Drosophila melanogaster: one gene and its partner. The protein of the gene in region 1 interacts with the protein of each later gene in a pairwise test. Each region holds a gene or a part of one and is shown on either strand. Other genes may lie near its edges. The genes, in order: CG15475 and robo2.

Region 1 (3,768 bases):
TATGAATACACTCACCGCGGATTGTCGGTATTCACTTTTTCAGTTTTTCATGTGTTAAATCGACATATTTACATTCCTTTAATTCTGAAGGAAGCCAGTTGAAATATGTTATACTTCTAATTAGGAATACTTTCCCCCTAATGAAGAGATTCTGAAATTTAATTCGCCAGCTTTAATGGTTTGTCACGACCAGGATCACATATCCTGACCACCCACCACCCGCCACCCGTTCGTCCTTTCTGCCACTCATTCAGCCGATTGTTGTTTTGCATGCGGCACATTAGCTTCATTTGTTCTATTGTTTTGATTATGATTTACAATGCCCAGTGCGCAGCTTTTGTTGCTCTGCTGAATGGGCGTTGTGAGTGTGTTGGTAAGTGTGCGAAAGTGTGGGTGCGCAGATGGATGTGTGCGTGAGTTTGTGTTGAACAAAGAGCAATACATTTGCATAGGGAAAAAAGACAGAGAGAGAGAGAGTGCGGCATTTGGACCACACAATAAATTTTATTTTATCCCTGTAGAACATTACCCACTATTTAAATGGTCCTTTGTGCAGCGTTTTTTCTAATTTCAGCCAAGCACTCACAAAAGTGTTATAAACGCTCATTACACTCATGGGTTTGAATTCCCTTAGGGAAAAAACATAAATTGTTTATATTAAACAATTTAAACTGAGGGACAAACGTCACTGCACCAGATTTGTATGAAACGATTAAATGTTCATTGTCAATTTAGATCGAAAAATTCGTATGCAAATTTAAAGTATAAAGAGAAATCGACCGAGTTATTTATTTAACAATGTATCATTTGGTTATCACAAGAATTTCAAATAATTCAACCGCTGCAATTTAATGTTAACTAATAAAAGTACTTCAAATTTGGGCATGAATCCTTCAAGATCACAATAGTTTTTGCATTCGGAAAATCCGAAAATATTTACTTTTCCCTGTTAGAGTTTGAGACGCCAGGGGCAGTGGGGTCCTGGTTCGGAAAAAAGTGGTCCTCCAGTTTCTGGATACCATCGGGAGTGCTCAGATCAAAGGCGAACTTCAGGTACTTGTCGAAGTAGTTCTTGGTGCGATTGATGTTCTGGCGGGCTCCACTTGCCTTCAGATCCTTGGGTTCCTTGGGCACCTTGGGCTCCTTGGGTTCCTTGGGATCCTGCTGGTCTTTGGTCTCTTTAACATGCCTAAAATCCTTTGGTTCCTTGGCAGCTCGCGCCTCTTTAAGATCCTTGAAGATGAGTTCCCTTGCTTCCCTGACCTCCTTGGGAGCCAGTTTTGGATGAGTGGCTCTGGGGACTGTTGATCGAACAGGTTGGTTGCTCACACTAACCGCGCTCTGGTATTTTGAAACCACTTGAGTATTTCCTCCTCCAGCAGCTCTGATCGGATTCTTGGAAGCCCGGCATAGATCAAAGTGGTTGCATATTTTCGCATTATCGTGAATGGTATCCTTGGGTGCTGGCTCTGCCGCCTGGGTCTTGGATGGTCTGGTGAACCGTTTGGCATTCATTTTCGGAACTTTCTCCTTGGCCAGTCCACAGCCGTTTCCCTGCTGTTGATACGTTGGGGCCACCAAAGGATTCTCCAAGCGGGTTAGCTTCGTTTTGCGCTGCAGTGTTGAATTGTGAGCCATTTAGTTTTTGAGACCTCGATGAACTGCAACGAATAATAAAATGAGTTTTTGAGCTTATTGTAGAAATGTAGAAATGAGTCAGGGCCAATTAGACCACTTGATGGCAAATTCAAGGGTTGTATGAAAAAAATCGATGTGGTGCCAAAACTATAAATATATTATGAATTATAAGTAAAGCTGTTGGGATATTGATTTGAGCTAAACCAATTTGCGTTAGACTCGTGTGTAAAGCTGTTTTTGCCATACGATCAGTAAATTATTTATCAGATTCCAAAACTAGAGTTTAAAATATACAATATTAGAATTAAGTGGAATTCTGGGGAAAATAACCCGACAAGTGTTTCTAGAAAGGGTTAGGAATCCTTTTTCGTGCACTACAAAAAGTCATGGCTTAAAATGCGAGTAATTTACCAAAGAGAAATGCAGAGATAAAAAGACTTTATTTTTGCTGGATTACTTTTTCAGGACAGCTGCTAAAATGGAAAGAACAACAAAAACAATTAATTCCGGATAAACACATTTTATAATTAAAAAATTCCTTCGCCTTTTTTCTGGCTTGCTGGGTATGTTTGGTTTTTGTGTGAGCTTGCAAAAACAAAGGCAGCGTATAAAGTGAAGGAGTCAGGGAAAATGAGCGCAAAGAAAAAAAGAAGTGGAAAAAGAAGCTTACAGGAGTGACAGCTGAAAAGGAGCGAAACGAAGACCATCAAAACAAGGACATAGCCGAAAGTCCAGCCGCACACGGCGTATACGCAATATTCCTTTGATTTTGACACAGAAATTTAATCATCTTTTCCGAGCAAAGCAAAAAGTCCACTAAGCTGATTAGGGTCTCTTTTAACTAATTTCTTTCTTATTTTCCTGCAGTTTATTTCATTTTTTGTTCGTCTTCGCCCTCTTTTTGTATCTTCTGGACCAAGTAATTTATTGTTTGTTGTACGTAATTAACCCGCTTCGTGGTCGCGTTCATGGCTTTCACACTTTGCTCTGCAGACTTTTGCCTAACGACGTAGTGTCGGCCTGAAGGCAAATTCTCCCTTCAGTTATCCCTTAAAAGAAATTTCATTTCATTTCGGTGATTAAAGCCTTATCTGCGTGTAAAGTCGTCCACGTAATTAGTTTCATTCCAGCCTCCTTTTTTGCTGCCCCCAGATTGCGACCTGTGCCAGTTTTTCCCCTTTTTTGCGCTTACATTTCACAAAATGTGCGCAGCTCAGCCGTAAGCCTGTGAGAAAGGCGGGAGAAAGGTGGGAGTGGCAGTTGACGGGTCCAAATGTCAGCTTAGCCCTCGCAGGATATGCGAAATGACAGGCAAATTAAAGCTGAGTGGACGGGCAGACAATTTATCAGAGATACGTAGAACATGATAAAGGTATAAAAATGGCCACTTATAATGCAAAAAATGTACGGGTTAGTCTCCCTGACAGTTACTGAAAATGGTTCCGAACCGAACAAAATGCTCACTTGTTAAAGGGATTTTCGAAAGGATATGCTTGTGAAGCTCTGTTGAATAATTGTTACCCAAAGGGTATGCATCTACTAAATCCTAATAAAAGAAAACTCTTTTGCTCCCAGTTTTACTATACTGAATTTACGATGTTCATTAACAAACTACTTTCAATTAAGATAAAACCATAAAATTATTTGTGAAATATACTTAACTTTAAAGCCCTTTCATTGCACAGCCATTAAAGTTTCCTAAAAAAGTAATATCCACTTTAAGCGAGCCTAACGAGTTGCCCTTTCTCTTCCACGGTATCGTACCCCCATTTCCCTACTAATGCCTTAACTTTTCCTAACTGACTTAGGGCGTAAGAACCAAGACAAAGCTCAAGAAGGGAATTGTCCTGAAGGAGTTCTTGTTCTTGGGCCGCCTGTTGCCGATTGTCGAGCAAACAACAATTTACTTGACATTTGCAAAGGAATGTGTTCTGGCGGGGGACCCCTTTTCACTGGCATTCTCCTCGTTCATTCAGGTCCTTTGTTGTCCTCTTTTCCGTGATCTTTTCTGCTACAGCAAGGACTTAAACACTATAAAAAATTACTTAGCTGCTGCATGTGGTACACATAAAGAAATTGTGTCTGGGAATCTATTATTAAATTGGCATACCTTGCCTCTTTTGCAATATA
Region 2 (5,165 bases), about 19 Mb from region 1:
GAAGGCAGCGCATCCTTCCAATAAACTTAAACACGTACATTAAAGTGCATTTATAAGTTTCGTGAGTTTCGCCTTCCTCTCATCTTTTTCAGCTTTGGCTTGACAATCAAAATGTCATTTCATTTCGTTTGGAAGCTCGCAAATCCGCAATTGAGACGCAACTTACATGCCATTAACAAGGCTTAAACCAACCGACATGACAGACAAACAGTCAGTCAGTAGACTGTGTGACAGAGAGGGACGAGCCGGTTGGAAAGAGAGGGCGAGAGGCCCAAACATGACAAAGGCAGTGTCAACATTTCAGCCTAGATAACTCAGAGTGCAGTCCAGTGTTGCCAAACTTCTTGGCCCTCTGTTTTGGTAAGGTCATGGGTTGGCAGGTTTAATCGGGCCAGCTTAAGGAGTAAATATTTTGGGTGTTGCGGGCATAGATCAAAAATCCATGCTTGAATCCATCGGATAGTTAGCACATTGGATTTACTTTGGTAAGGTAAAGGACATAAGGTATCTATATATTATATATTATCGTATATACTTGCAGCGTTGCCCAACTTCACTTGAGTGCTAATGAAGCGTGGCAACCGGGCTCAGATATCTCGCCTTTCAAGCAGAGCAACTCGCCCTGGCTGTAAATTGGCCAATTATCAGCATTTGAAATATGGTTTACCTGCCACGAATTCTCTCTTTCCTCTACCTGGATTCTTCGCCTCTATAAAAGGTGAGCGGCAGTGGGAATCGGGATTCGAGAGTCGGGATCGGAGAATCGAAGAAACGAGGGACTTGAGAAGGCAACAAACTCACATACGCCGTACGCACTTTGACCTTTCTTTCTCGCAGAGACAATGCACATTGTGTTGCACTCTGAAAAGGGGAAGTGGAGGGGGAAAGGGAATCCACACCTGCCCGCTCCTAAATGCACGCATAGTTCCTTTATAGGAAAGATACACACCTTTATTTTACACTTCTCTGCCCGTCGAATGTATCTGTATCTGTATTTTCTGAGCACCGGCATTAATGAACTGACTTCACACTCGTCCGAAGAACTCTACCTGGAGGAAAAGTTATTGATTATTTAACAAACGCTGGGAAATTAGGCAGCGATTTATAGAGGAAAGCCCTTTCGGATATGCACTTTGATAAATTAATACAATATCGTCTAGCTGGCCATTCAATTGATTTCGAAATTCATTAGCGCGCAGAGGCGTCTAGATATTGGGACAGTGTCCAAGAACGGGTCTCCACTTTGATTTCTATTCATCGCATTGTGAAACGGATCGTCTAGAACTGTGTCTGGCTTTATTGCAGTTTGGAAATAGATGAGCTAACAGCTGGAGAGTGAGTGGGGCACTCGAGCAGATTAGATATGAAATGGTCGCCCCTTTGGAGGGGCTCTTTCGACTCTCTGCGCCGGCGAAGGGTTGAGCGGACACGGTGGAGCTGGAGGGCAATAAAGCGCAACAAGTAGGGATTATCCGAGCTCGAAATGTTTTCGGATTCGGATGGAAACTATTGAGGCTGAGCGGCACAAAGGTTGGCAATTTGTTGGCTTGACAACGTGAAAAAGAGCTTGAATGATCGAATAAAAATGGAAAAGAGCTGGAGATAAACAAGTTGGACTTGGAAATGGATGTGGCATGGTGTTAAAGTCCGTTTGAATGTAGATTTTTTTGTATTAGCAAATGATGCAGATTATTCATAAAAAAAGCCAATAAATACATGACTATGTGTTGTGCTGCAAAGAAATCCCCATCTAGTCCTGGAAGTCAGATACATATTCCAACAATTCACATCCACTCAATAGCAACATGATGATGCACCACCACCCGAAATGTTGCACGACTCGACGATAAACCTAGGGCACGTGGATCGAAACGAGTGAAGACGGAACAAAACAAACCGTCTTGCAGTAAAAGTAAACAAAGTTCCAACGCGTTCCACAGCATGCAACAAGCGGGACGAACTGGAACGCGGAACAGCGCACGAAGCGATACAGATACTAGATGGTACTCGGATACACAGACACGAAGCAGTAGCCGAAGTGGACTTCGGGTGGCGGCTCCGAGGCGAAACGAGAATTCGTTCCTCAGTCGCATTTCGATTGTCAGCCGGTTCGCATGTGCTGCGGATGCAGATACAGTCCATATATCCGTATCCGTTCGATTCGTCGGGTTACGCGCGTCGTCGTTCCGGGAAACGGACTTAGTGGCGCCGCCATGGATTCAGATGCTAGCGAATAACTAACTCGGAGGAACAGAAATACTGTGTGTGCCAAAACAGAAGATCCGAAAGATTGCGCGTATCGAGAAATGAGTGCAAATCTATTTTAAATGGTGTGCAATTAAGGAGGCGAAACGAGAATACTTGACAAAATGCATTTGTGCGAGATGCGTGGAATGCCGCTGCGGTTGCAACCTCAGTGTTTAACCAACGAAAGCGAAATTCAAATTAAAATCAAAAGCAAAATCAAAAATAAAACTGCCAGCGAGATCAAACGCCGACACAGAAACAATCGAGATTTTCATGGGGAGCGGCTAAAAATAATGCCAGTCGATCGGAGTCGACGCGCAGTATTCCCACTGCTGCTGCTCCTCGCGGGATTAAACGGATTAACTCAAGTCGGAGCGCTCAAGGGTAAGTGTCAACAGATGCAAGATGCGTCCATCTCCAGAGTTGCATTCGCAGGGTTGCATTGTGGGATCTCTGTTTTAGTTTGAAGGGCATTATGACAAACTATTTCCTCCCAGAGCCAGGGAAAATCCTTCGCGGCCGCATATGAGTTGCCTCCTCATGTCGCTGCACTCCCCATTTATTTATTAGCGTCATTTGTTTCCATTTACGTTTTTTTGTTGGTCGACTCCGTCTTTTGGCTATTTTTGGTTGCAACACACGCGGCCCGACCGAACAACAAAGTGAAATTAAGGCACTGCGGTTTATTTATGCCTGCAACGTTCGCTAATGGATTTTAAGGCCGCTTTATAGACAACGCGACATCGACTCTGCCCATAGACCCATTATTCATGCCTCTCTCTCCCGATTCTCATTAGAGATGCACATAATGGGGCGACTTTTGGATGGGCATAGCTGGATGTTTGGGCTTTGGCAGGGCATTGCAATCGGTATCGTAATTCCAGAGATCTCTCAGAAGTTCTCTGCAGGTTAGGGAAGGTTAAGAAGTATCTATTAGTATGGATACTTTTAAGAACAATGCTGCTAATTCCTCATTATTCCTTATCACCACATAACGAACACCAAAAAACAAATGCTAACCCACTGAACCCACTTAGGGATCACATTTGGGAAAACTAAATACAACTTCCAAAGAATACACAGATCGTATTACACATCGAACCCGAGAAAAGTGAAAAAAAAATGCATATGTGGAAACTCAGTTGGATGAGGGTAAATCGAAACACAGAAATTGTAAACCCCTTAGGGAGGATCTCGGGAAAGATCACTAACCAAAACCAAAACCGAACTTTAGATAAATGAGTAATGAGTTCGAAAGACTAATCAACCGAGTGTAGTTTCCCGCTCCAATCTCGCAACTGATTACAGGAAAATCAAACAAAGAATCGAGTTTGTGGCTTTTGTGGTCGAGATGGCAAGTTCAAAAAGAAAACTAAAGCGAAATGGTTTGAGGTTGGCGGTTTAAGGAATGGGAGTTAAGCAACGCTTTTAAATTAGACCCTTTGGCGATTTCATGGCTCTATACCTCCGCCGATAAAACATATATCTAAATGAGCTTAAGTCGTCACACCCCTTGCAACGCTGAGAATGTTGTAATCTAATGCTTATTAAACGCTTTTTAATGCCAAACCAACGACGCCCAGTCCACTGATATCGTCCATGGACACACGCAACTCGGATTCGGATTGGGATTGGGATTTTTGAATTCGGATTTCAGTAAACACTTGAACACGCAACCTGAGGCTGTGTGTTGCAGCACCAAGTATCTGTATCTCAGTGTCCCCATCCCGAAATGGCCGATGTGACGTGGCAAGTGTTGCACGCGACGTCGCCCGTTTGATATAATAAATTGTATAAAATTATCTGCACCGGCACACGACAGGATTTTGTTCCTCACTTCTGGTGGTGTGTGACCAGCGAGATCCAGTTAGCAGCCCAGCTTTTGGGTGGTGGGTCAATCGCAGTCGGCTTGAGAATCTGTCGGGGTCATAAAAATTATCGCCCTCAACACAAAGTTGCAGGGTTGACAGCCTTGGCAACCTTCTAATGCCACTCTGGGGAGCGTTTTTCCAGCTAACTGGACTGACTGCACTTCTTTCTGTTTTTTTTTTTTTTTTTTTCGTTTTGACTCCGGGGGTGGCAGTCTATCCTTTCCTTTGTCTTGGCCGTTTATGTTGGCATTTTTTGTGTTTTTGTGTTTTTTTTTTTTGGGTGCCCGCCTGGCAAAAGCCTTTCGGCTCTTGTGCAATTTTCTCATGTGCATTATGCGAAAATTGGGCTAAGTAGCGGTCTCTGGCTTAGTTTTCCTACTTTCCCGGGCGAAAGAAATGAAGTCAAGTGCTGTGGCAGCTCCGTAGCATGTTATTTGTTCAATCACATGATTGCCCTACCAATCGCCCGGCACTCAACGAGATCTCCCATTTGCTCCCAGCTGCAGGCTAGATAATGAGGGGTCTTATGGGATAGTATCCATGCCATAGCTAGCACCGATACGTTGGCACACAGTTTGGGGCAGGAATGTGATTGAAAGTCGGGCCAATGTGGGTGGAGGTGTTGCAAGTCGACTGGCGAAAGGTCTAGCGGATAGCGACGTACTTCTAGGAATATTCGAAAATACGGACTAGGACGGGAGTGATAGGTTTTCAGTAATATGTAGTTTTACTTCTAATAAAAAAATCAATTTGGATCGAATTCCTTAGAAAACACATAGCCACTCCTTGGGGAAAAGTATTTACTTCTAATTGCAACTAGCCGTGGCTTCAGTACGCCTTTCCTAAGAGCATTCGATCTCCAGTCGACTATTTGCCAGCCAAACAATAATTAATTATTTAAAACAACAGGCTTACGACGACGGCCAGAACCCAGAACGCAGAGCCCAGAGAGACATCGGTCTGGAAGTCTGGAAGTTTGAATGGCTGAAAGGCGACTTGGACATGGTCAGCTGGGTAGTCGGAGCCAAGTTTTGCCTACGCAAAGAT

Evidence for each region.
Region 2: the proteins of CG15475 (region 1) and robo2 interact in a two-hybrid assay, tested with the Drosophila melanogaster proteins (one large-scale study listed by BioGRID).

Annotation. Positions count from the first base shown.
Region 1 is NT_033779.5:20,612,551-20,616,318, reverse strand, and holds CG15475 (uncharacterized protein), read right to left. Parts: upstream 1,798-3,768; 5' UTR 1,639-1,797; coding exon 937-1,638; 3' UTR 760-936; downstream 1-759.
Region 2 is NT_033779.5:1,417,370-1,422,534, reverse strand, and holds the start of robo2 (roundabout 2), read left to right. Parts: upstream 1-2,081; 5' UTR 2,082-2,369; coding exon 2,370-2,631; intron 2,632-5,165.